3 linked regions of the Rhinolophus ferrumequinum genome follow. The protein of the gene in region 1 interacts with the protein of each later gene in a pairwise test. Links are inferred from orthologs where the notes say so. Each region holds a gene or a part of one and is shown in the gene's direction. Other genes may lie near its edges.

Evidence for each region.
Region 2: the proteins of JUN (region 1) and BATF2 interact in binary tests that used the Homo sapiens proteins (3 or more experiments, as listed by UniProt). The link is inferred for Rhinolophus ferrumequinum from reciprocal best matches to the Homo sapiens genes JUN and BATF2.
Region 3: the proteins of JUN (region 1) and UBC interact in a two-hybrid assay, tested with the Homo sapiens proteins (2 studies listed by BioGRID and IntAct, with this or other methods). The link is inferred for Rhinolophus ferrumequinum from reciprocal best matches to the Homo sapiens genes JUN and UBC.

Annotation. Positions count from the first base shown.
Region 1 is NC_046292.1:42,541,286-42,549,634, reverse strand, and holds JUN (transcription factor Jun), read left to right. Parts: upstream 1-4,920; 5' UTR 4,921-5,846; coding exon 5,847-6,851; 3' UTR 6,852-7,439; downstream 7,440-8,349. UniProt on the Homo sapiens protein: Transcription factor that recognizes and binds to the AP-1 consensus motif 5'-TGA[GC]TCA-3'.
Region 2 is NC_046294.1:6,592,159-6,600,070, forward strand, and holds the start of BATF2 (basic leucine zipper transcriptional factor ATF-like 2), read left to right. Parts: upstream 1-4,410; 5' UTR 4,411-4,594; coding exon 4,595-4,633; intron 4,634-5,967; coding exon 5,968-6,105; intron 6,106-7,912.
Region 3 is NC_046308.1:3,432,241-3,439,698, forward strand, and holds the start of UBC (polyubiquitin-C), read left to right. Parts: upstream 1-3,956; 5' UTR 3,957-3,961; intron 3,962-4,075; coding exon of another isoform or gene 4,076-4,190; intron 4,191-4,331; coding exon of another isoform or gene 4,332-4,469; intron 4,470-4,658; coding exon of another isoform or gene 4,659-4,753; intron 4,754-4,847; coding exon of another isoform or gene 4,848-4,921; intron 4,922-6,172; coding exon of another isoform or gene 6,173-6,270; intron 6,271-6,400; coding exon of another isoform or gene 6,401-6,486; exon of another isoform or gene 6,487-6,982; intron 6,983-7,458. Other genes in the region: probable ATP-dependent RNA helicase DHX37, read left to right, coding at 691-797, 922-1,110, 1,924-2,048, 2,122-2,238, 3,123-3,295, 4,076-4,190, 4,332-4,469, 4,659-4,753 and 3 more.

The DNA of each region.
Region 1 (8,349 bases):
GCGCATTTCCCGCTGTTCACTTCCAGGCACATAGTAGGATTGCACTTTCTGGCATTCTGTAAGAAAGACATGGTCACGTGACTAGTTTATGACCAATAATATGTAAACACCAGTAATAAGACTCATTTCAGAGAGGAAGCTTTTAAAATCAGTGTGACTGCACTGTGCTTTCTTCCCCATTGAAGTGTTGGGAATGACTGTGGAAGCATATATCAAGATGAAACCTTCTGCAGACTCAGTTTCTGAGTGAGTACATGAAGCAAAGCCCCTTTGACTTTGAACATGTACTACAAACAAGAAATAAAGATTTTTGTTAAGCCACTAAGATTTTAGGATTGTTTGTTAATGGTGGCAAACCTAGTCTATCCTGACTGATGTAAGAATTGGCACCTAGATGTGGGGTAATGTAATGGCAACAGTAAAAGTAAACATCCATTTAGAGGGCAGTAACTAAGAGCACTGTTATCAGAAGCTAAAAGGACAGTGATCTATTTGGTGAATATATCACCTGTGACAATTTAGAAGGCGTGTCATGAACCTAATCAACTTAAAGTGAGAGACTAAAACAAAATGTTAGTAGAACGTGTTGGTGGCTGTTGGATGCATTTGGAAACTTATTATAAAAAAAAAAAGAGATGAGCTCAGAGAAGACTTGGCCGGTTTGCCAACAAGAATGAAAGAGAGTAGGGACAATCTAGAAATTCAGAGATTTGTAGGGTTAGAAGAGGCTAAGTTGTTTCTCAGTCTCAACTAGTAAAATATATAACTAAAAAATGTTTTCAGCAAGAAAAGGCAAGTTAAAATTAGCCTTGAAGTATGGATCAAGTCAAGGTATGGCCTCAAGCTTATTTATTGTTCAAACCTCTTGACAAATAAAGGTGTTACCGAGCTATGTTTTCAATTAAACAAAATGGCTCTAGAAAAGAAAGGAAAAGTGTGACTCTCACACCAAAGCTCAATAAACCCAAAGTACTCAAAACCAAGCTGGGGAGCAGGGGAATGAATATGAGAGATTGAGAGATTGAGAGAGACAGAGAGAGAGAAAGAGAGAGAGAGAGAGAGGTATTAGCAGGCAGGAGAACGAGAAAGCTAAGAAATGTGGCAAACCACAGGACTATGTCTAGAAAAGAATTGGCTCTGGCTATTGGTACATGGAATGGCTAGAATCAAACAGATAAGAAGCCTACATTTATGTGAGAGTTGTACTGCCAAAAGAACATCAGCCTGGATTAAAGGAGACTGTATTTGAGACTTAACATGACTCTGTACCCTCCCCCCGCCAATTTTTGAAAGCTTATTTAGAAATATATTTCCCAATGCCTGCTTTAGATATAGAAGAGGAAGACTCTCTCAGAGGGCAAAGCCAGGGGTCATGGGAAAGAATGGACGGGGCAGCTACACTCGGGGAGCAGAATCAGGGCCTAACTGGGGTGATGGGTAGGGGGTCCTCAGTGGATTAGTGTCTACTGTGGTCTCCCATCCCTCCACTTCCACGTGATGTATGCACGGCAGTGTATCCTGCCTCAGTCCCACCATTACATATTGAAGGTGTGCAGGGTAGACACCTTGCTTTTAGTTGATAAGTCCTATCTGGAGCTGATATAATGTCTACTACGCATCACTCAGAACCTGGAAAGGAAGCTTGATAGACTGTGACTAGATGGGTCTTTAGCGTTGTCTCCCTTGAGGAAAGGATGAGGGAACTCTGCCTGTGAGAGGACACTAAGCCAAACAGTTGGGGAACCGAAAGGGAGACTGCTCGAGTCATTAGTGTGGTTCCCCAAATCTTCCTAGCTCTCTTGGTTCAAGATACTTGGTAGGATTACAGAGATTTCAAGTTAGGCATGGCCACGGGACTTGCTTTGGCTAATGATACAGAAGTACTGTGTGTCACTTCCAGGTGGATGCTCTGAGAGCCAGTCAATGATTTCCCGCCGTCTCTCCCCGCAGCCAAGGTAATAGTAATACGCAGGTGTCGAGATGAAGCCCTCTTCAACTGGAGTCCTTGAGTGACCACCGTGAACAGAACTCCCCCATAGACCCACAGTGGGCATGTAGCATCAGCAAGAAATAAACTTCCGTGGGATAAGACACTGAGACATTAGGGTCGTGTGTGAGGGCAGCATAGCCCAGCCTTTCCTAACTGGTACAGGGAGAGAGAGGTGAGGCCTGAGAGCAGGAGCTAGACTGTGAAAAGCTCCTTCTCCCAGGCAAAGGTGTCTAAACTCTCTCCTGGTTGTAAGGGGACGGCAGTGAAGGCTTCCAAGCAGGGGCGTTAACTTTTAAACAGATCTGTTATTTTTTGGATGAAATATGCTACTTCTCAACATAAGGAGAAAATCAGCCTACTAAACCACATAAGGCAGAGAGGAACACACAGAACCCTTAGGCAAAGATATATATATTTATACAAAGTCCTAATCTTGAATTTTCTAAATACAGGAGCTCTGAAAGGAAGCTCTGAAAGGAGTTACAGCGGCGCAGGCAAGGCAATTTCTTCTGTCCCACCATCGAAGTGCCATTTCCGCTGCAGACAATATGTTACAAGAAAATCTCCCAGAGCAGAGAAGATACGAGGGAATGTAACACAGACCTGAGGTCAATTTCCAGCTGCCTGTGTGACCTGAGCAAGATACTTAACCTCTCTGGGCCTAGTCCCTCATATGTTAAATCTGGTTAATAATAAACATAGCTCTAGATAGTTGTGGGGAGAAACAGCATATTTAAATTGCTCTGGCAAATGCCTGGCTGATAATAGGCATTTAATACATGAAATTTATTTTTATTACTCTCATAAAAATTAAGAACACCAGCTCCTTGATTACAGACGAAAATGATTTAGGGTAACAGTATAGAGAATACTCCCTCCCTGAGGAAAGTAACTGGATCTTGTCATCACTGTATTCTAACCCCACCCCTACCCCCCACCCCAGCTCAGTGCCTGCCTCACAGTAGCCACTCAGTTTTCCTCTGCTGCATGACTGAATGAGAGGTGAGTGCCTGGAGTAAAGAAAAGTTGTCAAGATTTCCCTGCCACTAGCTACTGTTGGGCTGTTGAATTTTAACCCTCAAAGCCAAAAAGACCATCAGACTCTGGGCTCTAAACGCGTAAGCTGAATTCCCCGAAGTTCTGAAGTTGAGAAGCCCGAATTAGAACCTAGGGACCTAAACTGCTGCAGGTCCAACTTCAAGCCTCAGTCACGGGCAAAAGGCCCAGGAAAGGGCTGCCTTCGACCCTTTCCTCCCTCACTCCCCTTCCTTCGATGCTCCTCACAGGAGTTTTTACACCTGTTCCTGTCAAGTCACACTCTTACATCCTGGCATTCCAGGGAGGCTCTGGGAAACTCGGGGAAGGAGGCTGTTTGGTGACTACTTCCTAGCCCTGAAGGTGATGATACTACCCTAACTCTGCCCAGTGAGGTGGTTTTCACCGCCCCGCCCCCCAGCCTCCCGCACCCCCGCCGCAGATAAAGGAACTGAAAAGCTCATAGAAGTTCGGTGACTTGCTCACTTCACACCATGGCAGCGTTGGCCACGACAGAACCCACGATTCCCGACTTCGGTGTTCTTTCCACCACACACTTTTGTCCCTAAGGGGGATGGGGGTGGGGGGAGATAACAAGAGCCACCAAAAAAAAAAAAAAAAAAAAAAAAAAAAAGGAACCACTTACATGTGTCTAGCGCTTCCTAGAGGCTACACAGGATATAGGCCCAGCTCCCGGGCCAGAGCCGTGAGATTTTAAATCCTGCTTCTATCCGACTCCTCGCTGCGTGACTTTTGGCGAGTGTCCTCTCGGACTTGTTTCCCCGGAAGCAAATCACGGCGGGAGGAGTGTGAATGTCTGTGCGTGTGTGTGTATTCGTGTGATGTGTGGTGTGCGAGTTCTTGTACGGGGGCAGAGAGTAGACGATCGCCGGGGTTCCCCGAGTTTCGGATTCCCTAAACGCTTGTTCTCAACTGGACTGAGTTGCCCCCTAATTGCACCCCTTATTAAAAAAAAAATACAAAAACCCTCCCCTCCGAGACGAAGCTATGACCTCGCACCCTTTCTCCCATCGTCGGGAGGGTGAAGTGGGGGTGCCCTGAGGAATTAGCTGATCACCAGTCTCGAGCAATGCAAATCACTCGGCTTCTAGGCGCAGCCAGACAGCCCGGCGGACGGTCGCTGGTGAACTTGACCAGGAGACAAACTTCCGAGCGTACTCAACGTGGGGGGGCTGACTCTCGGAGACTGCCCCTAAACTTAAGCCCACTTTCACTTGCCCCCACGGGGGACTTAACAGAGCCACCTTAAGGGCGGTGCTCCCGCCCCCCGGAAGTGCGGGGGAGGGAAAAACCCGAGCTGTAGACCTCCCGGCCCCGCGAGGCGGCGAAACGCCGGTGGATGCTATCCAGCACCCACGAAGTGGGGAAATACCACCCGTCTCGCACCCTCGGCCCCAGACACCCGGCCAGGTTCCCCAGCCCTCCGAGTCCCCGCGTCTTCTGCATTCCGCCCCGAGACCCGAACTTGTGCCCGCTTCCATCAGAAGATGCGAGCGCCCGCGTCGGCCGGGCTCGCAGTGGCCACCGTCACTAGACAGTCAAGCCCCAAGACGTCAGCCCACAATGCACCGGGCGGGCCGGGAAAGACGCGCCGGGGAGGGAGAAGAGAGGGGCGCGAGGCGCGCGGGAGGGGGCGGGGGAGGAGGAGAAAGAAGGGCCCAACTGTAGGAGGGCAACAGAGCATTACCTCATCCCGTGAGCCTCCGCGGGTCCGGAGAAGAATCTTCTAGGGTGGGGTCTCCATGGCGACGGGCGGGCCCGCCCCCTTGAGAGCGACGCAAGCCAATGGGAAGGCCTTGGGGTGACATCATGGGCTATTTTTAGGGGTTGACTGGTAGCAGATAAGTGTTGAGCTCGGGCTGGATAAGGGCTCAGAGTTGCACTGAGTGTGGCTGTATCAGCGAGGCGGGAGTGGAGGCGCGCGGACTCAGGGAGACAGGACAGCAGTAGAGTCCGAACTGCAAATCTGATTTTCTTTTCCATTTTCTCACCAAGTGCCCAGAGCTAGCGCCTGTGGTTCCCGGGCTGGTGTTTTGGGAGAGCGTCCGAAGAGCCCCCTCTCCAGCCGACCCAAGAGGAGAACCCCACTGCCCGGGCGCCGCTGACAGCGCGGAGGGCGGCGACTGTCCCCTGGAGAAGTCTGGCGAGCCGCTGTAGCGGCAAAGAACTTTCCTGGCCCCGAGGACAAGGGACAAGTAGCCCCTGAGTCCCGGACCGAACTTTTGCAAAGCTTTCCTCCGCTCCAAGCTGCCGCGGCGGCGGTAAAGAAAAAGCGACGGAGAGAGGAGAGCGAGGAGGGACGTGCGCTCGCACCGGTTGCTGAACTTGGGCGAGCGCGAGCCTCGGCCGCCGGGCGCCCCCTCCCCCTCGCAGCGGAGGAGGGGACAGTCGTAGGAGTCCGGGCGGCGGAGACCCGCCGCTGACCGGCCACTGCGGGGTCCGCGCTGAGTGCCGCCGCCAGGAGAGCGGCTGTCGCCGGGAAGCGAGTGAGTCCGCGGGCTCCGAGGAGCCGCTGCGCAGAGGAGCGCTCAGTGAGTGACCGCGACTTTTTAAAGCCGGCAGCGCGCGAGAGCCGACAAGTAAGAGTGCGGGCGGCGTCTTAACCCTGCGTTCCCTGGAGCGCGCTGGTGAGGAGGGCGCAAGGGGGAGGACAGCTAGCGGGTGCGCGCGCTATTAGATAAACTTTCCTTGCTGAAGGCCGGGCAGGCGCGGGTGTCCCCCGCTTGCCAGCGAGCTGTTGCGGCCCCGAAACTTCTGCGCGCAGCCCAAACTAACCCCACGTGAAGTGACGGACTGTTCTATGACTGCAAAGATGGAAACGACCTTCTATGACGATGCCCTCAACGCCTCGTTCCTCCAGTCCGAGAGCGGCGCCTACGGTTACAGTAACCCCAAGATCCTCAAACAGAGCATGACCCTGAACCTGGCCGACCCGGTGGGCAGCCTGAAGCCGCACCTCCGGGCCAAGAACTCGGACCTCCTCACCTCGCCGGACGTGGGGCTGCTCAAACTGGCGTCGCCGGAGCTGGAGCGCCTGATAATCCAGTCCAGCAATGGGCACATCACCACCACGCCGACCCCCACCCAGTTCCTGTGCCCCAAGAACGTGACGGACGAGCAGGAGGGCTTCGCGGAGGGCTTCGTGCGCGCCCTGGCCGAACTGCACAGCCAGAACACACTGCCCAGCGTCACGTCCGCGGCGCAGCCTGTCAGCGGGGCGGGCATGGTGGCTCCCGCGGTGGCGTCCGTGGCGGGCGGCAGCGGCAGCAGCGGCTTCAGCGCCAGCCTCCATAACGAGCCGCCGGTCTACGCCAACCTCAGCAACTTCAACCCGGGCGCGCTGAGTAGCGGCGGCGGGGCGCCCTCCTACGGCGCGGCCGGCCTGGCCTTTCCCGCGCAGCCCCAGCAGCAGCAGCAGCCACCACAGCCGCCGCACCACCTGCCCCAGCAGATCCCCGTGCAGCACCCGCGGCTGCAGGCCCTGAAGGAGGAGCCGCAGACGGTGCCCGAGATGCCCGGGGAAACGCCTCCCCTGTCACCCATCGACATGGAGTCCCAGGAGCGAATCAAGGCGGAGAGAAAGCGCATGAGGAACCGCATCGCTGCCTCCAAGTGCCGGAAAAGGAAGCTGGAGAGGATCGCCCGGCTGGAGGAAAAAGTGAAAACCTTGAAAGCGCAGAACTCAGAGCTGGCGTCCACGGCCAATATGCTCAGGGAACAGGTGGCACAGCTTAAACAGAAAGTCATGAACCACGTTAACAGTGGGTGCCAACTCATGCTAACACAGCAGTTGCAAACGTTTTGAGGAGAGACTGTCGGGGGCTGAGGGGCAACGGAGAAAAAAAAAATGAGAGAGAGACAGACTTGAGAACTTGACAAGTTGTGAGAGAGAGAAAAAAGAAGTGTCGGAGGACTAAAGCCAAGGGTATCCAAGTTGGACTGGGTTGCGTCCTGACGGCGCCCCCAGTGTGCACGAGTGGGAAGGACTTGGCGCGCCCTCCCTTGGCGTGTAGCCAGGGAACGGCCGCCTGCGGGCTGCCCCGCTTTATGGACGGGCTGTCCCAGCGCAAACAGAACGTTAGACTTTACTTTAACATTGACCAAGAACTGCATGGACCTAACATTCGATCTCATTCAGTATTACAAGGGGGGAGGGGGAGGGGTTACAAACTGCAATAGAGACTGTAGATTGCTTCTGTAGTACTCCTTAAGAATACAAAGGGGGGAGGGGTTAGGGGAGGGGTGGCGGGAGGGAGGTTTGTGAGAGCGAGGCTGAGCCGACAGATGAACTTTCTGGCCTGCCTTCCTTAACTGTGTATGTACATATATATTTTTTTTTAATTTGATGAAAGCTGATTATTGTCAATAAACAGCTTCATGCCTTTGTAAGTTATTTCATGTTTGTTTGTTTGGGTGTCCTGCCCAGTGTTATTTGTAAATAAGAGATTTGGAGCACTCTGAGTTTACCATTTGTAATAAAGTATATAATTTTTTTATGTTTTGTTTCTGAAAATTCCAGAAAGGATATTTAAGAAAATAAAATATTGAAAAAGTACCCCTCCCCCAACCTCTTTTCTGCATTATCTATAGATTACCTATCTGGATGGAGTGGAAAGAGTTAAGAGTGTCCATTGAAATCACTCTCAGGGCTGCTTACTATCAAGCAGTAAAAACTATTCTCTACTGGGCATGAGAAATAACTGGAGCTGATGCTCTCACCAAGTTATACACTTCCCTCCCTCATTATCTATATAGAGTTGCTTACAAAGGGTAGTGTGGACCTTGAGGAGGCTGAGGGAAGGAGGGTTGTGGTGAAGAGGGATTGCCCACTGGGAAGTCCAACACTTTAAAGTTTGGATTAGAGCAAGTGGCATGTGCTGTGACCATTTATAACATTAGCAGAAATTTCACAATAGATGCTTATTTTCAAAGTAAGAATAGTGGCAGATTTTTACAAAAGATGTACCCTTCCCATTTGGAATCTTCACTTGAACAATTCCTAGGTTTAAAAAGATGGTCTTTGCTTATGAATATTTATAACAGCATTCTTGTCACAATAAAGGTATTCAAATACCAATAACATCTTGAATTCCTTTCCCTTTACTACTTTTTTCTTCCCGAGCTCTATATTGAAGCTTTTCTTTTCAGTTGCTGGGGTTGACATTACTGCCACTGAAGTTACTTGGTAATTAAGCAGAGAATTTAAGAAGGGTCAACACAGAAGTTGCAATCTGGATGAAGCAGTTCATTGTCTCTCTCTCTCTCTCTCTCTCTCTCTCACTCTCTCTCTCTCTCTCTCTCCT
Region 2 (7,912 bases), on another chromosome or scaffold:
GGAGGCCTGGCTATTTGTGGATTCCAGCTTTAATGAGCACTCGCAAGGTGTCATGCTGAAGTGAGTCAGTCCTTTCCTCCCTGTGCCCTGGGGAGTCCCCACAAAGTCCGCGCCCACAGTCCCTGCCCAGCATTCAGTTCTCTTGGAATTGCCTCCTCAGCACGCCTTTGCTTTCCTGCCCACAGGTCCCTGTGAAGCAAAGCGAGAGTGCTGGGCTTGGTGTCAGATGCACGCGGGGCACTGAGTTCGTCCCACCTGGGAATGTGACTCAGCCAAGGGATGTACCTCCAAGTGGCAGCTTCCTCCTACCTGAATCTGAGCCACGTTGGTGACATCAGCCCAGCCTTGGTTACCCCTTTCCTGCCAGTAGCACCCCAATACCCTGTGGGAGTTACCCTTTCATCACCCCTGGGCCTTATGGTGAAGATGAGGCTGACCCTATCTAGGATGGGCCTGGGACCTGGCCTTGCCTGTCTCACCTTTATCTCCTGCACACAGCGACTCCTGTCGCTGTGAATTAGCCACACAACTCAAGCCAATCCAAGGAGAGCCAGGCCTGGGCCCTTTGTTGGAACTACAGTAGTACCTCGGTGTCATGCAGGGTGGCAGGCGGGGTCTCTAGTCCTGCTCCCCACATAAGAACGCAGGATGTGGCTAGGCCAAAAAGGAACACCCACCGAGCCGTAGATAGGGGAGTCACACCACTGTAGTGTCACTGGCGGCTGGGGGACACACAGGAGCAGGAGCCACACGATCCGCAACCCCCTCGTCCACTTGTCTCTGCCAACCCACCTCACTTGTTAGCTGCAATCCGCCTCTCTGCAATTGGTAATCCACACTCCACCACGCCACGCCACGCCACGCCACGCCAGGACGCCACACCACCACACCACACCTTGCTAGCTTAGCTACGGCAGTTATATCAGTGGCTAGTGGCTAATGTCTAACCGGTAACAGCCGATGGCCAACTAGCCACAGCTGACGGCCATCTATTACCCGAGCCAGCACCTTTCCACGTGAGACCGAGGGCCTGGAAACTGCACTCCTGGCTCTGTCCCCACACTCGGTTTTCGAATGTCTCCGTTGACAAACATTTTGGTTTACGAATGCTGTAAAGTTTATGGATCTATGGTATCAATAGATAGTAAAATTCACGCCAAATTGCTGTTTTAGGGATTGATTTTAAAGGTCTGGAACGGATTAATCCATTTTGCATTACTTTCTATGGGGAAACCGCGCCTTGGTTTTCAAACGTTTCAGAACGCAAACGGTCTTCCGGAACGGATTACGTTGGAAAACCGAGGTACCATTGTATTGAGAAAGTGCCAAGGGATACGCCCCTGTCCTGGGGCAGCTAAGCTGGTGTTTCTGGTGGCCATCTTACTACATGAGTGGTCCCTGCATGAGGATGTAGCCAGCGCAAAGCAGAGCAGATAGGGTGAGACACTGCTCCTGATGACTTTGCGCATCATGATCCAGCCGTGCCTGAAGCTGGTACACTTTAGACTTGTTAGTAATTAAACTTCAGGTAAATCGTTTATAAAACTAAGAATTCAGAGAACCCTAGTTTCCCCTCTCTTATTGAGATTCCTTTGTATGATTGAGAAATTTTGAGCAATTCACACTAAATATTAAGTGCTGCTTGTTACACATGGATGCAATCATTAACTTCTCTTTTTTTCATTACAAAGATACTTCGTTAGGAAAAACTCATCCCTGTTCTTATACTCCTCCATTTTTTCTTAAAATTAATAATAATAATGAAGTAAAATACAAGCCTATTGTGATGTGAACAAAAAATTCATCAGGTGTTTATTGAGTGCTTTTGTTAAAATTTTAACAGAGGTTTGTGTGAGTTACTTTGTGCCAGGCACTGTTCTAAACCCCTAACATATATTACTTCATCAAATCCTTATATTATCATCCCCATTTTACAGATGAGGCATAAGGAAGTTAAGTTACTTGCCCAGGATCAAGTTCCAGGTCTGGGATTGAGCCCACCCACTCCTCTGGAAAGCCTTCTCTGGTCTCCCCAACATGAAGTACCCGCTGCGGCCCTTACCCTCCTGCCTGCCGGTCATGGGCCCTGCATGAGGCCCACACCCTGCTGGGTTGTAAACCCGTCCCAGCTGAGGCTTAGCTCCCAGGCCGGCCCATCCACAGTTGCAAGTGGGAAGTCAATAGCTTCGTACCTCAGCCTCACCAGCAACCAGCGGGCCTCTTTCTCTGCTACCCATTGTCTGAAGCTCCTTTGAGGTGCCCTTAGGAGACCAGGCCTCAAATGAGGGGCGCACATGCTAGAGGACTTAGAAAGAAGGGCCTCCTCCCTGGGCATCTGGAGACCCCTAGCATCTCTCCAATCACAGGAGGTGTGGGAAGGGATTGGGACAGGGCATCAGGGCATCCTAACTTCTCCCACACCAGCCATGTGACTGTCCCCTCCCTGTGCCTCAGTTTCCTCAATGGTAAAATGAGGGGGTTCGTTAGAAATAGTCCCCGAAGAACCCAGGGCAGGTCCTGTGGGAATGAGCAAAGCCGAGCTTTCTTTACTCATCCAGGAAGCTTTTGGGGTTCTCGGATGGCAAGCTGCCTGCTGGACTTCATGTATTCATTAGTTGAGCACCCATTATGTGGAGGCAGTGTTTGAGGCACCGAGGATACTTTAGAGAGTAAGACAGGTAGTGGTTCTGCTGCTCAGGAGCTCATTCTGTAGCTCTGGTTTTGGGAGGCCTCCAAGCCTTCACTTACCAGGGCTGTAGGCTTTGAACCAGGCCCTTCCAAACTGGGTGGGGGTGGAGGAGGACTGAGGGCTTGTGGAGAGAGGCGTGTCCTCCCTCCAGCTCTGCCCCCTCCTGCCAGGCAATCTTGCCTCTCAGGCATTGGCATCCTCACCTTCTCAGTGAGAAGTTGCACTGGATGGCCTCGCAGCCTATTCTGCCAGCCGGGGAGGGAGTCCACCTCTGCGGGGAAGGCTTGCACAGCCACTCATAGTTAAACATTACCCACGCCATGTCCATCCCTCCCTGCCACTCCTCAGGGATATCAAGCCATAAACACTGCCTTCTTTGGTCTTCCTCCAGGGTGGAGGCCTTCTGGGAGGGGCCACAGGTACACTTGCTGATGAAACCGGGGTCTGGAGAGGGGAAGACTGGGGTTCAGGTCTGGGGCTGGGGGCTGGGGTGGGGACAATCAGGCCCTAGTCACCCACTTCAAGATGGTTTTTCTTGGTTACATCATGCATGTGGCTCCCTGTAGAGCTCATGGACAGGCTTAATGAGTCCCTAGGTACCTCAGGCAAGATACCCAGGCCTCTTGATTTCTGGGAAACAAAAATAATTCGGAGAAATCGGGCAGCCTCACTACCTGGGGTGCCCCTACTTCATCCTGACTCCCAGGTCCCTCACAAGCAAGGAGGGCCAGGCCCAGCTGTCATGCCCAATCCCACACACCCAGGCATTTTAAATTACGAACCTGCATTAATCCTACGTTCCCACAAATCTCAGGAACAGGAATGGATTCTAGCCAAATATTACTTTCCAATATGCAAAGAACTTTCTTCTCTTCCCCTTCGTTTCCATCTTCAAGACAACTTTGTAAAATAGGTATGATTTCGGCCCAGCAAATATATGAGAACACTGAGGCTCCAGGTGTTAGATAGACCTGGTGAGTAGAGTGTCAGGTGTCAGAGTCAAGTCTTCTAACAAAAGCTGAGACTGGTTTTTATGCCCAATTCTAGGCTGAGGAGAGGATAATGCCTTTACTCCTTTAATCTTCATGACAAAATTGTTTTTATCCCCACTTTACAGATTTGGAAACAGTGACACAGAAAGGTGAAATCACGTATCCGAGTCACATAGCTTGGAAGCTGTGCTCCTGACTGCTAAACATCACTCTTTCTACTGCTGTGTGGCCTGTTGAATGGAAACACAGTCATTGATCCATCTGTTCTCCTAAGTAAAAGCCATTGCTTATTTTTGACTCGATGTTGGTCTCACAGGGTTTGGGGTGTTATGTTATCTTGCTTGGTTCCTACATTAAGCCTGTGAGTGGATATTTGTATCACCCCCAACACCCTTTACAGATGAGGAAACTAAAGGTCAGAGAGGGTGAACCACCTTTTCAAAGCTGCACAGCTCCAATGTGCTGTGGTTTTGGGTGGGCTATGAACCTGGGCTCCTCATATTCCAGAACCCAGAGGCTCTCCCTTATCTTCTATGAGCCCTTGGTACCTCACTGCCTTTCCTTCTTGGTTCTGTCCCTGGCAGCCTGCCCTCCTGCCCCCAGAACACCCTCCTCACACCTGGCTTTGGTCTCCCCTCCTCTGGCCACCCCCCACCGTCCTCCTCCCAGAGAAGGGGCCCAACCGGAAGGCTAGTTCATACTAGGAAATTCCAGCCACGTGAGCTAACCCGAGCCAAGGATTCTGAGCAGCCGGTGGCTTTAGAAGAAACTGAAACTTGGCTTGCTGGGGGCGGAGTGGTCACCGGGGTTTTAAAGAGCCGCCACTTCCTTGGGTCCCCAGAGGGCACTGGGAGGTCACAGCAGCCGAGGGACACCCTGAACCAGATGTGAGCCTCTGCCCCCTGCCCAAGCCATGCACCTCTGCGGGGGTGAAGGGCTCCTAACTGGTACGGTGAGTACAGGAAACCAGGGACGGGGGGAGGAGAAAGGGAATGTGCCTGAGAGTCCCCAGGGCCCAGGTGGGGAGCAGGTGGTCAGAGCATCTCATCCCAGTTCTGTGCACATGGGCTATGTGACCATGGGCTTCACATACCCTCTCTCTGGCCTTCAGTTTCGTCAAGGATTGGAAAGGGCTTTCCAGCTCTCATTTGCAGATCCAGCCTCCAGGTTAGAACTTGACCTCTGAATACCGCTGTCTCCTAACCCACCTGTCCTCCCCTCACTACCCTTCATGTAGCCTGTCTTCCCTCCCCAAATTCTCCAGCATGGTTCCACTTAGAGGCCCTGCCCCTTTCCCAGGACCCAGGTACCAGAGGCTACCCACTTCTCTCACTGCTGGTCTTTCCCTCAAGCTCCAGTCTCCTGGCACCCCCAGCACCTGTAATGAGCCTGCTGTGGCCATGGACCCAGGAGCACGGCATCCTCAGCCAGGGAGCTCAGAGTCTTGCCTGAGCTCTTTACAACGCCCTTCCCAGAGAGGCCTAGGAGAGGGGAGGTGGGATTGCAGGGTCTCCAACATTCCCTCTTGTCTGACCTTCCAAAGTTCCTGGGCATATTGAGTTATATCCCTAACCTGGGGTCAGGGTCTGGGAAGAGTCACAGCTGTGGAGTCCATTCTTCCATCAGAACTGACTTTGTGCATTCATTCTAGGTTGCTGCTCCACTAGAATGTGAGCAACTTGATGGCAGGGAGTTTTGCCTGTTTTGTTCACTGCTGTGTCCTCCTAGCTCAGTGCCTGGCACACAGTAGCTGCACAATAACTATTTGTTGAGTAGGTGACTATCAGCTTTGGGCTTAAGTTGGGCCTGGGCTCATTGGAGCAGAGTCAGACCCCAGCTCTGCCCTCACAGGTGGAACTCATAGCTAGGGAAATCAACACCTTGACCTTGACCATGCAAATAATAGCGATGGGAACATCAGCGGCTGACCTTTATTATATTAACCCCTGGCTCTGGGCTGGCCCTGGGCCCTGGCCCTTTATGGTCTGTGAGGAAGTTACTCCATTGAATGGATGAGGTAGCTGGGCTCAGAGTAGTGAGTGACTTGCCTGGAGTAACCCAGCTGGTAAGGAGAGCCTGGGTGTGAAGTCAGGTCCCTCTGAGTTGGAGTCCCAGGCTCCCAGCTTCCTCACTTGTCCTCCCCCAACATGAGATCGAATGAGGCTGGCATGCCAATGACGCGTCCTGTGCCTGTGATGGGGTGTGTGAACACCAAGGGAGCCAGAGATGGCTTCTGGGAGAAAGGGACCTTCGGGGACTGGACTCAGGAATGTCACGGCTTTACAGAAGGCCAGGACGGAGGGCGCAAGTCCCTGCCAGGACCCAGAGGAGCATCAGAGGCAGCTGAAGAAGAAACAGAGGAATCGGACATCTGCCCAGCGCAGCCGGCAGAAGCACACAGACAAGGCAGACGCCCTGCACCAGGTGGGAGATGCTTCCCTCCCTGATTCTGCCTGCACTCACCTGGCCCAGTTGCCTCTTCTCCATCTGCCTAGGAATGGTTCCCCCTACACTGCTGTGTGTTCCCTGGTGACTGAGTTTGGGAGGAAGGAAGGACTCTGCCACTAAGATTTGGAAATTCCTGGGTGTTGAGTGCAAACTGTGTGCCAGATACATGCTGGGTTCCAGGGACAAAAGGTGTATCCATAGCTGGCCCTGCCTTCTAGCAGCCCCCAGTCTAGCGCGAGGAGACAGGAAGTAGAGGCAAACTGGGAGAATCCAGCACAGCAACCAGCTGAGGCACTCATTAAAATGTGGATCCCTGCCCCTCCTCCCCGCCCCAGGCCCCACCTCAGGAGGCTGGGATGGGGCCCAGGGAGCTGCACTGTGATTACTCACCCTGCCTCTCAGGGTTCTGATGTGGGTGGCCAAGACCACACTATGAGAAACTCTGGTTCAGGGTTAAGATGCGCTGGCTTTAGAGTCCCAGCTGTGGCACTCATTAGCTGCAAGTTGCTTCTTCTGCTGAGTTTCACCGTCCCCATCTGAAAACGGACAAAAATACCTGCCCCCTGGCAGGATCCATGTGGAAACTAAAGAAGGCAAAGGAGCCCAGTGGGGCAGGGGAGGGCTGCACCTGCACTCGCCTCTTGACCTTGGATGGTAACTTGACCTTGGATGGTAACCTGACCCTTGGAGCCTTCCCTTCTTCCTCTGTGCAGAGAGAAAGGACAACTACCAGTTCAGTCCCAGGGGGGAAATTAAGCACTGGGCTCAGGACCTGGCCCTCGGGAGGGTTGCGCACATGTTAGTTCTTCAAGTGAGTAAAACTCACAGCACTCTGCACCCAAAGGCCCTACGCTCTCTGCAACGCCCAAGCCCACCTGTGTGCCTTCCTCTCCTAATATCCCACACCCTGTTCTCCCGGGGCCTTCTCTTGCCAAGCTCATCTAGCCTCAGAGGCTCTGCCCTTGCTGTTCCCTCTGTTCTCAGACAGCAGTCCAGTTAGGTCCTCACCTCCTTCCTGTTGTTTGGTTTAAATGTCACCTCCTTAGAGGGGCCTTTCTAAACCATCTGCTCTAAAGAGCCCTCTCCTTATTACTCTGCTTTATGTTTCTTGTTAGCACTGACCTATTTAGATGTTCATAGCTTATCTCCCTTGCCAGACCGTAAGCAACATGAGGGCAGGGAACCACTGTTCCCTGCTGTTTTCCCTACCACCTGACACTGTGTCTGACAGAGACAAGGGACTCGGTAATTCTCTGTGGAGAGAACGATAGAGTCAGAATTAAGTGCACTGGGAACACATAGTGGGCAACGACAGGTAGTTGCCTCAAGGTGTTATATAGACAAAGTCTGAGCTGGTCTTGAAGGGTAAATGGTTTTCCTAAGGGATGGAGGTAAGAAGAGGCTTTGCAGGCTAACAAATTCACGCTGGCATGGGCGTGAGGGACAGCACCCTGTAGATTGCGCAAGATTGATGACTAATGCCAGAATGGCACTTCCTGCATGCATTTATTTATTCATTCGTTCCGGAAATGTCTATTGAGTATCTTCTGTGTGACAGTCATAGTTCTAAGCATCGGAGATACAGCCATGGGCACAGCAGACAAAAGGCCAGCCCACCCTCCTCAGGGTTTATATTTTCATGGGGGAGCCAGGCAGACAAATAAATTGTCCATGAGGTGTTTGGGATGTCAGATAGTGATAGCGCTATGGGGAAAAACAAAGCAGGGAAGAGGGAAAGGGATGGGGCCCTCCTAACTAGGGGAGCCCTCCCTGATCAGGTGAC
Region 3 (7,458 bases), on another chromosome or scaffold:
TCTGTCTCCGGATTTGTCCATTTCGGACATTCCATAGAAATGGAGTCATACGGAATTCGTCCTTTTGTGTCTGGCTTCTGCCACTCAGCGTGATGTTGTACGGGTCATCCACGCTGTAGCTCGTGTGGGTGCTTCATTCCTTCTATGGCCAGATCACATCCAGTGTGCTGTACGCATGAACCGGATTCTGTGTATCCGTTCGCCCACTGCTGGACACTGGGTTGTTTCCACGTTTTGGCAGCTGTGAACATGAGTGCACAAGGATTGATTAGAACACTCGTTTTTGATTGGTCCCTCTTTCTAAGGTGCCACCACCCCTGAGCCCCACTCCCTGTCCTGTCACCTTTTATTGTCGGGGCACGTTTACTCTTCCTTATGTGTTTGCTCCCGTCTACGGCCCCTTCTGGTTGAATGAAAGCTCAGTGGAGGCAGAGCCCTGGTCTTGCTTTTCTCAATCTCCTTTGCCAAGAACAGCCCCCGCGCACATTAGGGGCTCAGACCTGCTTCGGAGCGAGTGGCTGATGTGACCACATGAAGGAAACAGGCCTTCGGGGTTCCCTTGGCCCCTGGACTTGGAGGCTGCCCGGGGCCCTTTCTGAGTGGCCAGGCCTGGCCCGGCTCCCCCTTGCAGTGACCGTGCCCACTTCTGTGCCTTCAGTTCTGTCACCTGCGCATTTTCCTGTGTCCCAGGTCATCAACTTCCCCTTTCCAACTCCTCCCTCTGTGGAGGCCCTCATTGCTGCCGAGGAGCTGTTGATCTCGCTGGGTGCCCTGCAGGTGCCCCAGAAAACAGAAAGGTAGGGCAGGGGCTGGTGGGGGGAGCCCAGTTCCCGCCCCGTTCTTGGCCCTCTCCCCTCTCCTGAGCTGCCCTGAGCACCGGGGCCTCTTAGCTCTGGCGCTAAAGCCTCCTCTGTCCTCCAGGATGAAGCAGCTGCAGAGGTCCCGGCTGAGCTGCCCCATCACCGCGCTGGGCAGGACCATGGCCACGTTCCCCGTGGCGCCCCGCTATGCCAAGATGCTGGCACTGAGCAGACAACACGGCTGCCTGCCCTACGCCATCACCATTGTGGCCGCCATGACCGTGCGGGAGCTGTTCGTGGAACTGGACAGGTGGGGGCGGGGGGCTGTGCGTTCCGGCCTCATGCTCAGGCTGACGGGGTGCGCTGGGCTGAGAGAGGGCCTGGAGCCCGGCCTCTGAGGGAATAACTGGATCACTGGGTGGTCTTGTGCAAGACCCTCATTCTCCAGAGCTCCAGTGTTCTGGTCGCTACAGAACGTGTTCTAAGGAAATTCCTCGCGCAAAGCTGATACAAGGCTCTGTAGCATGATGGCTAAGAGCCCAGGCTCTGGGCCAGACTGCCTGGGTTCAAATCTCCCTCTGCTACTCCCCAGCTGTGTGGCCTTGGGAAGGTGACTTCACCTCTCTGTGCCTCATCTTCCCCATCTGGGAAATGGGGATGAGATGTTATTAATAACTGAGTTGTTGTTAGGGTTACGTTAGTTAACATAAGGGACTTCAAAGTATACCTGACACCTGCCTGAGTGTCATTACTTTCAGGTTTGGGAACCAGGGGAAAATTCGTTTATCCAGTCCATACTTGGTGTATATTTCAGCATTTTTCAGGGTTTTTTTTTTTTTATTACTATTTGTAAGCTGCACGGCATTGTGCAATGTTACTCATTTGTAGGATTGTGTCTTTACATTGATCTCTAAATGTGAAATCGTGGGTAGGAGGCATTCACATTTTTTATCTTGTTGGCTACCGGAGGTGAATTTTAGGGTAAATTTTGAGCCAGAGCTGAAGACCTTGATCATGTTAGCGACCCCACCGGGCATGGATGGTCTCTGTCCCTGAACCTGTGCGCCTCCTGCCCCTGTGGCCCTCAGCCAGGACGACAGTCAGGTGGTGTATGTGTTTGCAGACCAGCGTCCAGCGACGAGGAGCGGGCCACGCTGAAGGGCAGACGTGCCCGGGTGGCCCTGATGAAGAGGACCTGGGCAGGACGAGGCGCTTCCCTGAAACTCGGAGACCTCATGGTGCTGCTGGGTGTGTGCCCCAGCCAAGGGGGGCGGGCCCGTGGGACCTGGGGGACAGTCAGTGAGTGCGTCCTCGTCCACAGGTGCCGTGGGGGCCTGCGAGTACGCGGGCTGCTCGCCTCAGTTCTGCGAGGTCAGCGGCCTGCGGTACAAGGCTATGATGGAGATTCGACGCCTGCGGGGCCAGCTGACCACCGCAGGTACGGCCCACACACCCGCCTCTGGGGCTCCCCAGGACTCCTGCCACAGGCGGCCCCCAGCACAAACGGGACTAATGTTTAAAGCTCTTCTCATCGACGTTATCTGTGCACAGTCATTCCCCAGTTATCACAGGTCCCACGTGTACACATTCACCTCGCTGAGACTGATCGTAACCCTAAGTCAGTACTTGGCGCCTCTGCGGTCCTTTGAGGACCCGCCAGTGAGCAGGCGCGCACACCTCGGCCTCATCCTTTCCAGTGCGGTCCCTCGCGTCACCCTCTGTCCCTGGCTCTGATCTGGACCAGCTGCCCCTGGGCATCCCCAGTTTCACCCTTGGGTTCCCTGATCCCACGTAGGGTCTGACCCTGGCTTCACGGGGTCTCCAGAGGCCCACACATTTCTGGGCTGCTGTCTTGCCAGCCTTGCACGTGGCTTCCATCCTCGAGGCCACCTCAGGGACCGAGAAGACACTGGGAGATCTAATCACACCTGCTTTCCAGGCAGGAGGAAGGGGCCAGAGGAGCGTTCCAAAAATTCCAGCCGGCAACTCCATCGTCATATCAGGGGCAGGACCGAGTCCCGGCGCCACCCTGGCATCTGAGGGGGTGGCTTCTTGGCAGCTCACTCTGCCACCCACAGAGGAATATTGGGGTTTTGTCCTAAGGAAGAAGAGGGCGTGGCTATGGCGTGGGCAGCTGGTTCTGCCCCGCTGAGGGCTTTGTCTCCCGCCCACCCAGCAGCCTCGGTGGAAATGGGCTGAGAGGAACAGGTGCTGAGGCCAGAGCTCAGCATTGAGTGGTGTCGGGGCTTCCCAGAAGGTCAGCCCGAGACCGCAGGTCCCACCATTGTCCACTGCTGTCCTCACACCTGGCTTTTCCCCCAGTCAATTCTGTGTGCCCTGAGGCTGGGCTCTTTGTGGACCCCAAGATGCAACCTCCTTCCGAGAGCCAGGTGACCTACCTGCGGCAGATCGTGACGGCCGGCCTGGGCGACCACCTGGCCCGCAGGGTCCAGAGCGAGGACCTGCTGGACGACAAGTGGAAGAATGCGTATAAGGTCAGATTCCAGCTCGGGAGCAGGCAGCGTGGCAGGCGTTATGCCCGGGCTCCCCTCTCCACCCCACCCTCCATCTGTCTCGAGTCCTGCCAGCCTGGGCACTTGTGATGCCTGCCTCTGGGCATTGTCGGGACACCTAGAGCAGCCAGGGGACCCTTGCGGGGACCTGTCCTCGGTCCTGTCACTGCAGCCTCTGGGAAAGTCCCCACCAAGGAACAGGATGGGGTGTACAGGAGTCACACTTCCTTTGGGGATTAGCTTCACCCCAAGTCTATTTTCATAACTGCTTAATGGAGAGAGGAATCACAAAGTGGACAATTCACCATTTTAAAGTGTACAATTCAGTGGTTTTTAGCATATTCACAGAGTTGTATAACCATCACCACGATCAATTCTGGAATATTTTCATCGCCCCAAAAAGAAACCCCGTCCCCATTATCAGTCTCTCCATTTTCTCCTAACCCCCCACCCCCCACTCCGTGAATTGCCTTTTTGTCTCTACGGCTTTGCTGATTCCATATATTTCGTGTCAGTGGAAGCATACACTGTGGCCTTTTTTTGTCCTGCTTCTCTCAGTCAGCATGGTGGTGAGTGAGGCACGTGTCAGTACCTGTGTCGGCGTCTTCGCTCAGCTGAATACTGGTCCCCGGTACGGACACGCCGCTCGTCACCTGGCAGAATGCTCTTCCGCTTTCCCAGCCGCACGTGCAGCTGAATTCACATGGGTTCCTGCACCTGTGCTTGTGTCTGCGACACACACCACTCACCCTCTCTTTGCAGACCCCCCTCCTCGATGACCCTGTCTACATCCACCCCAGTTCCGTCCTTTTCAAAGAGCTGCCCGACTTTGTGGTCTACCAGGAAATTGTGGAGACCACCAAGCTGTACATGAAAGGTAGCAAAGCCGGTGGCCGGCCCCTCGCCCTGCTCACGGGCTCTGGGGAGCTGTGACGCCAGGGCCCTTGGTGGGGAGGACACAGCCCCTCCCAGACAGCTTGGTCACTGTCATCCTCAGCCCTCTCTCCTGGGCCCCCAGGTGTCTGCACCGTGGAGGCCCAGTGGATCCCAGCCCTGCTGCCTGCTTACTGCCAGTTCGAAAAGCCCCTGGAGGAGCCGCCCCCTGCCTACTGCCCCGAGAAGGGGCGGGTGTTGTGTCACCGGGCCAGCGTGTTCTGTGAGTTGGGGCAGCTTCCTGGTGGCCTTGGGCTCCCGTGGACACGGTCCCACACCCTACACTGGGAAGTGTGTGTGTGTGTGTGTGTGTGTCTCAGGTGGTGTCACCACAGGCCCCCGGCTCCGGCTGGTTCTGGGGAGGATGTGGGGGTCCCTCACGGTCCCTCGCTTACTGGCTGCTGCCGTCCAGATCGCGTCGGCTGGCCACTGCCCGCGGTCCAGGTGGATTTCCCGGAGGGCCTCGACTGCTACAAGCACTTTGCCCGCTTTCTGCTGGAAGGGCAGGTAGGGAGCCCGGTGATTCCCCGCCCCGTCCTGGGTGCTGTGGGCGGGAGGTGAGCCAGGTGACCCCTCACCCTGCCCTGTGCGCTCTCCTCAGGTCTTCCCCAAGCTGGCCTCATACCAGGGCTGTTTGCTGTCCAGCCCCAGCACGATGCTGAAGACGTGGGCCAGGTACAGCCTTTCCCGGCAGCACCAGGGTGGCGGGGGGTGGCGGCAGGAGCTGGGATTGGTGTCCTGGACCACCATAACCAGTCACCACCAACTGACTGGCTTAGAACAACAAATGTATTCTCAGTTCTGGAGGCCAGAAGTCTAAAATCCAGGTGTCAGCAGGGTTGGGGGCTCTAGGGGAGGCTCCTTCCCTCCTCCCCCAGCTCCTGGTGGCTGCAGACATTCCTTGGCTTGTGGCCACATCACTTTGATCCCTGCCACTGTCTTTACATGGCTGTCCCCTCATGTCCTCTCTTGTAAGCACATCATGGGTTCAGGGCCGACCCCACTTCAGTATGACTTCATCTGAATTGCATCTCCAAAGCCCCTCTTTTCAAATAAGGTCACATTCTGAGGTTCTGGGTGGATGTGGACTTTTGGGGAGACATTGGTCAACCCACTACACAGCTGCCAGGTGCCAGGAGGAGGTGTTCTACATGCTTGCGTCCCTAGGGGCTTCCTGCCAGCTGCGCACAGGCCCACCCAGTCCCGCCCATCACCACCATCCTCCTCTGCCCTGCCTGTCCCTGCTCCTCCCTTTTTGTTCTCTTTCCACCTTGGCCAGCTCCAAGTGGACGCCTCCCCCTCCCTGAGGCTGGCGTCTGGAAGGTGCACGGGAGGGGTCTTGGAAGCAGATGGGTGCAAGTCCACCCTCTCACTCCCTCACTCCAGGGACTCAGGAGGAGGGTGTGGGGCCAGGCGCCCCCTGCCAGGCTGCTGCCAGCCAACTGTTCACCCAGCAGCTGGTTTTGATCACCCTCTCTGCTGGGATACAGGCAGGACCCTGTCCCTGTGGGGACGTCCGGTGCAGGGAGACTGACACCAAACAACACAGCTAGTACACATGGCGGGTGGTGACGCGGCTACAGAGCAGGACGTTAGCGATGAGGTGTGGGGCCTGGGGGGGTTGGTCAGGAGAGCCTGACTGGGCAGATTCGGAGGAGGCCGCTGTGAGCCAGGTGGAAATCTGGAGGAAGGTTCTAGATGGGACGAGCAGCATGGGTGGGGGAGTGCTCAAGGAGTAGAAGAAAGGCCAGGGCGGGCGGACCAGAGGCAGGTAGGAGGTGGTGACGTCTAGAGCCTTCCATCGAGCCACGGCACCCAGCATGGTGGAGGAACAGGGATCCTTTACCCACCAAGGCAGGGCTGCCTGCCCCCTCCCACAGCGGGCAGCCCTGTGGGTGGCATAATGCCCTCCATCCCTTCCCACAGGCTGCAGCCCAGGACAGAGAGTCTCCTGAGGGCCCTTGTGGCCGAGAAGGCCGACTGCCGAGACGCCTTGCTGGCTGCTTGGAGGAAAAGCCCCAAATGTGAGTTTGACGGGCAGGTGCCCCTTAACCAGGGCTTGGGAGCGGATGGGACGGGGTCTGCCCAGGCAACCCAGGGTTGGCAGGGCAGCTGGGCACAGAGCCATTCTGACGCTGTCTTCTGCCCCTGCAGACCTACTGGCTGAGTACTGCGAGTGGCTCCCCGAGGCCATGCACGCCGATGTGGAGAAAGCCTGGCCCCCAACCTCTGACCTCTGACGTCTGACCTGGTGCCTGGCCTGCCGGCCAAGCACCACATGTGAGCAGCCAGTTTCTGACATGATACCCCTTGGCCCCTGGACTTCACCCAGGAGGCAGCCTCTGGAAACCCTCTTTCATCTTGGCCCGGTTCTGACACAGCTTGCTGCCTGCCGCCGTGGGCAATCTGCCCTGGCGGTGACTTTTTATAACTATTTATTACGTGGTGGGTAACAGTTTATCTCACGTGCGAGTCCCCTTTTCAATGTGCTCTGTGGACTACATTAGTCCCTTGTGGAGCTGGAGGGTGAAGTGGCTGAGAGCAGGAGGCGGTGACTGCAGGGCCTCCTCCCAGCGCCCCCCCTTTGGGGGTGCGGTACACCCACCCTACAGTGAGGGGGGCCCAGGCTCCTGTGGAGTGGGGCGCAAGGCGTGGGTGTCTCCTCCCCAGGGGCAGCTGTCGCCTATGTTGCTGTAATAAATCTTGGCGTGTGAGTCCAGTGAGTCCTAACGAATCTCTGAATGGGGGGGGTCTTGGGTACATCCGTATAGAAACTGGTCTGGGTGGGTCCTGCCCCAGGTGTTAGTGGCGGTCTGGCACTGTGAGCCTGCAGGGTGTTGATTTCCTCTCACTTAGGTCGTTTTCTGAAATCAATCTGTACTCCTACCAGAATATAAATGCAAAATAAACGAACAAGTTCCATAATGTACATACGTAAGTAAGACAAAACTCCCAAGATACGTGTTTAATATTCCAAAGCTATTCATTTTCCCCACTTCCTGGTCACTAACCCCAGATAGGTCTCTCTTTCCCTGCCCCTGCTCTCCCACACACACACATTCAAGGCATGGGCAAGTTCTGTCACTACCTCCAGAGTTTGTCCAGCGCCCCGTCATGCTCCACCTCCACCAGGGTTAGGCTGTGCTGTGACTTCCTGGTGGTTTGGGGTATTCTCCACCTGGCCGCTAGAGGTAAACCTTAATCGGATCATA